Linked DNA regions of Sus scrofa. Each later gene encodes a partner of the first gene's protein in a complex. Links are inferred from orthologs where the notes say so. Each region holds a gene or a part of one and is shown in the gene's direction. Other genes may lie near its edges. The genes, in order: CRHR1 and UCN.

Region 1 (3,754 bases):
TCGTCTTCATCTACTTCAACTCCTTCCTGGAATCCTTCCAGGTACAGCTGCCCGCCCCCTCCCGCCCTGGCTATGGCCCTGGCCAACCCCCGCACCTCCTGGGGTGGGGATTCTCCGGGCAGGGGTCTGGAGGGGCAGGAGGCCGGGGACAGAAAGGGGGGCAGCCCTTGAGGCTGGGTGGGGCCGCACCTGCCCCGGTCCCTTGACCCGTCCTCTCCCTCCACCCCAGGGTTTCTTCGTGTCCGTGTTCTACTGTTTCCTCAACAGCGAGGTAAGGACCTGGGGCCCGGGCTCAGGACAGCAGGAGGCCTGCTGGGACCCGAGATTGCCCGCAGCCTCCTCCTGCCCTCCACATGCCGGCTCTCTCCTCCCTGCTCCCAGGTCCCTAAGGGGATGCTGCTGGGAGCCCGGGAGAGTCCCTGCCACCCGCCCACACAGCTCCTGCAGTGGCCAGCCTGCTTCTTTGCTCTCGTAGGCAGTGGGTGAGGGGAGCCTGAAGCTGGGGCTCCAGTCTTGTCAATGGGTCTGTGAAATGAGTTGCTGAAAACCAGGAAGCTGAGCCCTGGAGCAGGAAGTGTATGTAGCTTGAGGGCAGGAGAGGTGTATGGGTTGAGGGTATAGAGTCCTCATGGCAAAGGCCATATGGCACCTTTCGGTGGATTCAGAAAAGCCATCCTTTGTTCAGAATGCTTGAGAAAATTTTCCTAACAAATATGCAAATCAGGAGTTCCCATTGTGGCTCAGTGGGTTAAGAACCTAACTAGTATCCACGAGGATGCGGGTTTGATTCCTGGCATCACTCAGTGGGTTAAGGGTCTGGCATTGCCACAAGCTGTGGTGTAGGTTGCAGATGCAGCTCCAATTCAACCCCTACCCTGGGAACTTCTATGTGCTGCAGGTGTGGCTGTAAAAAGAAAAGGAAAAAAAAAAAACAAACAAACCCGCAAATCAGCAACGATGTGAATATTGCCACCTCCTCTGTGGCCTCCTGTGTGCTGCTCACAAGTAGAGCTGCTTGTGGCAGCCCTGGGGGAGGGAGAGGGTGTCCTAAAGCCCTGCTCTGCTCTGTGCCCACAGGTCCGCTCCGCCATCCGGAAGAGGTGGCACCGATGGCAGGACAAGCATTCAATCCGCGCCCGTGTGGCCCGCGCCATGTCCATCCCCACCTCCCCGACCCGAGTCAGCTTTCACAGCATCAAGCAATCCACTGCGGTCTGAGTTGGGGGGCTATGGAGCAGCCCCCCGAGATCTATGTTTGGGAAGATGGTCACCAGACTCAGCCAGCTGCCTTGTCTGTAGGGGGGACCAGGTCCTTCCCACACCCTGTACCCCCAGGAACAGCTGGCCCTGAGAGCCCAGGATCCTCCCTGACCCTCAGCTGAGCAGGAATACCAGACCTGTGAGAGCAGTCGGGAGGTGGGGCACGGGATGAATGGACTGTAACCTATGGGACTGGGCTGGGCCCAGGGCCTCTGGCTCCCCTTTGCCCCGATCTTCCTGGAGAATGGAGCAGAAATGGAGGGGAGGTGGAGAGCGGGAATCCAAAGCAGGTCCCTCCAAGAGGCATCTTCTCCCGGAGCACAAGATGGCAGCTGGAGTCCTCAGCGACTGTGAGGGGCCATTCACTGCCTCAGGGGCATCATGGGAAATTCCTGTGACAGCATCTGAGCCATCGTGATGATGCCTCTGGGCCTTAGCAATGCCTTCCAGCAGCCCTGGGAACCAAGGCCATGTTGTCAGAAGCCCTGAAGACATTCTTAGAAATCAAGTGTCATCATCAGACATCAGGCCACATCTCCGAAATCCTCCCAAGCCACCAGAAATTCATCTGACCCCGTGGTCCTGCCACCAGAAAAGCCCTGCCTCGCTGCCTTGCACCCTTGGGCCTTTACCACCGCACAGCCCACAGGGGTTTCCCCCTCCTTAACCTCCTGCCCCAGGTGTCTCCCCCTTTGTGAGAAGATGGGGAGGTGGGAGGGTGGCGGAGTGTCCTTGAGCAAAAGCCAGTCTGTGCCCCAGCCAAAGCCACCCTTCAAGGGGCAAAGAAGACTTGGGGCCACCCAGTCTGCTGGCTTCCATGACCCGCTTCTGGGGCAACCCTCTGCTGGTCAAAGGGATCTCGTGGCCCTTGGATGACCTCTGGGGCAACATCATTAGCTAAGCACAGAGAGGGCAGGACACCAGCCCCTCTCTGCCCTGAGGTCCCTAAAACAGGACAGGTGGCTCTTGGGGAAAACAGCCAGCTTACTGCTCACACCCCAGGTAAGGACCCAGCCATATCCAGAAGTATTGGACAACCAGAGCAGGGCTTTGGGGGGTTGGGGCTGGGAGATGGGGGCGGCTGGTGTAAATAATAATATTTATCTTTCAACCAGTACGTGTGAAGGCCTGGTCTGTGCTGAGGCTGGGTAAGGGGGTATGCCACGAAGACATGGAGACGACTTTCAGCCTTTAGGGCCTCTGTGTGGCTGGGGAACCTGACGGCACTCTCACACCCACCAAGGATGGGGCGCAAGGGGAGCTGGTGAGGGCAGGAGAGGGCTTAGAAGGGCATGGGGTCTGCAGGGCCCAGGTCATAAGCACAGGGGGGCGGGCTGGAGGGAGAAGGGCCGTGGTGAACCCTGCAGGTGGAGGACACCACGGATCCAGTGCAGCTTGGACAAAGATGAGGCTGTGGGACCCGGCCGGAGCACGTCCCAGCCCCCAGGGAGGCTCTGAGCTGGAAACGGGAAGGCGTTAGGAGGCAGGGGAGGCTGAACAGGTTTGAATGCTGTCTTGAAGGTAGGATCCCCAGAAGGAGACCAGAGACAAGGCTTGGAGAACAAACTCCGGGCTTAGTGCACACAGCGCATGGGTGGTGGGTGGGGCATGAGGCCCAGAACGGAGGGCAGGAGGAAGAGTGGGGGCTGCTGGAGACTTGTCCTGCCTTGGGAGCTGGGGAAGCTGGGTGGTAGCCACACCTGCGCCTTCCCACCTGATTGACTGTTAAGGCTCAAATGGCCACAACTGAGGCACAATTGAAGCATCTTTTTTTTTTTTTTTTCCTTGATTTTTAGGGCCGCACCTGTGGTATATGGAAGTTCCCAGGCTAGGGGCAAATCAGAGCTACCGCTGCTGGCCTACACCACAGCCACAGCAACACCAGTCCCAAGGTGTGTCTGTAGCTATACCACAACTCACAGCAACGCCAGATCCTTAACCCACTGAGCAGGGCCAGGGATCGAACTCATGTCCTCCTAGATACTAGTCAGGTTCTTCACCCACTGAGCCACAATGGGAACTCCCTCAAGTGGTCTTTCTTAATGCTACTCTTCATCCAATGAGGCAGAAGTGAGAAAGCAAGGCTGTGTGTGGACAATGTCGGGATGTGGAGGCAGGGGCATGGCAAGGCTGGGGGAGCCTGAGAGGGGCTGGGGGCGCTCTATGAGGGGGTGGCAGAGAGGCCAAGGGGCCAGGCTGGGGCAACTCCCCTTCCCTGATTGTGCCTCCTGGCTGTTATGGGTGATGGGCATCCTTCACACGCTTGCCGTGCGCACAGCCTTGCGTGATGGGGAGAGGTGAGCAGCACCCCCAGTTGTACACAGGCAGCCAGCTGCAGAGCTCAGAGCTGCTGGCTCTGGCAGGTCGTGGGAGGACATCCAAGGCCAGGCTGGTGGTCACCACAGAAGCTGCTGGAGGCCCCTGGCGGGGGGGGACCTTGGGATTCCTGGTGTCCAGAGACTGTTAGGGCAGAGGGGCTGCTGGGGTACCAGTG
Region 2 (3,370 bases), on another chromosome or scaffold:
ACAGGGTTTGGTGGCTGGTCAGAACTTGATGGAGTTAGCCCTCTGAAATGCCCATTTCACTCTAAAACGTAACCTGACTCCTGTGAAATCACTAAAACCTTTATAATGGCTTTATACCCACCGCATAGTAGGCATCCCATAAATATTTATTGAACCATATGGTTTTGTCAACTTTAGCTTATACCCACATCCCAGTAAATGTCACTCATTCCTCCTTTTCATAGACACATCTGTTTTCCAAACCCTTCCCAGCCTTAGTGTAGCTCTAGTTTTGGAGGGACCACCCCCTTGAACCCTTTATATGGTGCCTCTGTAAATGTTACTAAGTAGATAACCTGGAACCTGCAGAAGCAATAAGACCCAGCAAAAAACTGCTGAGGGGGGGCTACATTTTCTAGAGCTTGGAAAGAAGCCTGGAGACCACCAAGCCCAATCTTCTTTTACAGATGAGGACACTGAGGCCCGTAGAAGTGAGGTGACCTGTCCATGCTGAGTTAGTGGCAGAGTAGAAACTTGAACCCACAAGGTATAGTCCGAATGTCTGTGTACTCCCCAAGTTCATATGGTGAAAACCTAATGCCCAAGGTTGTGGTATTAGGAGGTGGGGCTTTGGGGAAGTGGTTCTGTCAGGAGGGCTGAGCCCTCATGGGATCAGGATGCTTACAAAAGAGGCTATGCGAGCACATGGCAAGAAGGTGCTATCTCTGAGCCAGAAAGCATGTCCTCACCAGACACCAAACCCAGTGGCACCATGATCTTGGACTTCCCAGCCCGCCAGAACTGTAAGAAATAAATATTTGTTGCTTATAAGCCACCCAGTTTATGGTAACTTTTGTTAAAGCAGCTCAGACTAAGATGCCAAGTTTTCTTCCTACCCAGCGATCTTAACTGGGAGGTCAAAGATAAAGTAATAACTACTGCTGCTGTGATTCCCAGGAGGAAAATTAACTTGGCTAAACTCCCACTTTGGAGCTAACCCAGAAGCAGATGGACCAGCCTTTTGTTGCCCGGAAGCACCCTGAGTCCAGAGGCCCTTTTTTTTTTTTTTTTTTTTTTTTTTTTAATGGTGCCTCAGTCAGACAGCCCTAGAATTTAGATCCTGGGGCCAGAATAAGATCAAGAATCCTGGCAGCTCAAGCTGCCTCAGCTGCCCCTTGGGTGGGTACCATGGCCATAGCTGAGTGCCAGTGGTGCTGTCCCAACTGGCTCTGTTTACAGAACTGATAGCTGGAGCCAGGGACTGGGTCTGAGCAGCGTTTTCCCTACCCCTCTGGCCCCTTCTAGAGGCTGAGGACAAGGTCAGCACCACGGACAGCCCCAAGGTCCAGCCTGCCTTTCAAGTGCCTGAGAAGAGATCTGGACTAGTCTGGTCTGGGGACCCGCCTCTCGTCCCTGCTGGCTATCCTAAGTGGTTGAAGGGCTTCTGTGTCTCCCAGAGCAATCTTTATGCCCCAACCCGGCTTCTCACTTTCTTGAGTCGGGTGTCACTTCCAGCCATGCCAAGTCCAGTGCCCTGAGGTGCGCCTGCTCGGGGTCTCGCAGCCGCTATAGGTCGGACTTGAAGCCGCGGCCGTCATTGCTCTACAATCAGTGCATGTTCCTTGCTGACGTCATTCGGTGCTGTCCTGGCGCTATATAAGGCTGGCGGCGGTCCCGGGACAGACCCCGTGTTCCCCAAGGCGCCCTCAGCCCGCCCCGAGGGACAGAGACTGGAGCTTGGTCCTGCACGGAGCAGACGCTCTCCCGCAAACTGTGAGTGGCTCTGAGCATCCGCCCAGCTTCCCTCAGCACCGGGACAGCGCTCAAATCACCCACCACCAAGAGGGAGGGAGGAAAGGGTGGCAGCGGCTGGGGCTGGAGGGAAGGCTGCGGGCTCCGGGCAGCAGTCGCAGGGGCTCGCTAGGGAAGGGACGCTGGACGTGCGCGGGAAGGGGAGTGGTGCCACCTGCGACTGTCCCAGACGCACCTCACCCCCGCGCTGCCTCTGTGTGTCCAGGGCCGGTGGCACCATGAGGCCGGCGGGACTTGCTGCGCTGCTGGCGGCCCTTCTGCTTCTGGCACAGCTGCGTCCGGGGAGCAGCCAGTGGAGCCCAGAGGCGGCCGTGGCCGGGGTCCAGGACCCGAGTCTGCGCTGGAGTCCCAGGACGCAGAAGCACGGCGGCAGCGGGGCCCGCGCCCTCCTCTTGTTGCTGGCCGAGCGCTTCCCACGCCGCGCAGGGCAGGGCCGGTGGGGATCCGGGGCCGCAAGTGAGCGGCCGCGACGGGACGACCCTCCGCTGTCCATTGACCTCACCTTCCACCTGCTGCGGACCCTGCTGGAGCTGGCGCGGACGCAGAGCCAGCGGGAGCGCGCCGAGCAGAACCGCATCATATTCGACTCGGTGGGCAAGTGATCATCTGGGTCTGGGGCCTGAAACCCTCGACCTGCATCCCCACCCCCAGGCTGGGCGTGAGGGACTGGAACTGACCTAGTCCCGCGCGGCTAGAGCGGCCTAGAGATGCCCTGAGCACTCCCCACGATACTAGTTTTTAATAAAAGTGCTGAAGAGCCGTTGGCCTCTGTTTGGGGGCTCAGGGAACCACAGCAGGGTGGGAACCTGTGGGAAAGTGGGGCCGCCCAGACCGGAGAGAGGGAACCGGGTACTGCTGGAGGGCTCCGGGAGGACGGCTTTCAGCCAGGTTCCTGTGGTCCCCATGTCCCCAAGTCTCCTAGGAACTCAAGCCCCAGTACCGCCGCATCCCCACCCCACCCTCTTCCGTTGGCACTGGGCTCGCGAATCTGTGCCTGATATCAAGGAGATGCCCAATAGGGGTTCATTCCACTTCTGCTCCCCAAATGGTCCCAGATTTGGAGAGGGCGGGAGGTGATGCGAACGTCTCCGAGGCTGAGAGAGTGAGCAGCGAAAGGAGCGCGGGTGGGGACGCATTAGCTCTTTATTGAGCCCCTCCCCCGCGGCGGGGCGCCGAGCTGGGTGGCGCGGTGGTCTCCGTTCAGATCCTTCACCACCCGAAAGTCAGGCTCCCCAACAGGGGCGGGTCAGTGCAGTCCTGCGCCCGGAAAAGAAAGCTCCATGGGCAGGCGCTCCAAAGGAACAGGGCAACTCCGAAACACAGCTGAATCCCTTTCCCCAGCCAGGAAAGCCTCTCCTCCACTTTCCCGTCCAACCTGGCCTTCCAAACCCCAGGGAATGAATGGTGGGCAAGGAAGTTGTACTTCAGCCCGCGCGCTAGGGGGCGTGTCCCGTGGGGGCCACGCGCGATCCCTGATGCCGCAGAGAGGGCAGTGGCCGGAGGAGAGGGCAGGAGCGGAGCAGCCAGGCCCTGCCATGGCCACACTCACCTTCCGGCCCATCCGGCCGCTCTTCCTCTG

What was found.
Region 2: the proteins of CRHR1 (region 1) and UCN are in contact, whole or in part, in a cryo-EM structure (PDB 6PB0), measured with the Homo sapiens proteins. The link is inferred for Sus scrofa from reciprocal best matches to the Homo sapiens genes CRHR1 and UCN. Residues at the interface, in NP_004373.2 of Homo sapiens: Leu106, Asn107, Glu109, Lys113, His117, Val120, Asn123, Trp169, Val172, Gln173, Ser177, Pro178, His181, Gln182, Thr192, Tyr195, Asn196, His199, Phe203, Phe260, Gly261, Lys262, Pro264, Tyr270, Tyr272, Gln273, Met276, Ile277, Tyr327, Phe330; in NP_003344.1 of Homo sapiens: Asn84, Pro85, Ser86, Leu87, Ser88, Ile89, Asp90, Leu91, Thr92, Phe93, His94, Leu95, Leu96, Arg97, Leu99, Leu100, Glu101, Leu102, Ala103, Arg104, Thr105, Gln106, Gln108, Arg109.

The regions. Positions count from the first base shown.
Region 1 is NC_010454.4:17,250,639-17,254,392, reverse strand, and holds the end of CRHR1 (corticotropin-releasing factor receptor 1), read left to right. Parts: coding exon 1-41; intron 42-229; coding exon 230-271; intron 272-1,077; coding exon 1,078-1,218; 3' UTR 1,219-3,032; downstream 3,033-3,754.
Region 2 is NC_010445.4:111,833,116-111,836,485, forward strand, and holds UCN (urocortin), read left to right. Parts: upstream 1-966; 5' UTR 967-1,752; intron 1,753-1,996; 5' UTR 1,997-2,009; coding exon 2,010-2,393; 3' UTR 2,394-2,817; downstream 2,818-3,370. UniProt on the Homo sapiens protein: Acts in vitro to stimulate the secretion of adrenocorticotropic hormone (ACTH). Binds with high affinity to CRF receptor types 1, 2-alpha, and 2-beta. Plays a role in the establishment of normal hearing thresholds.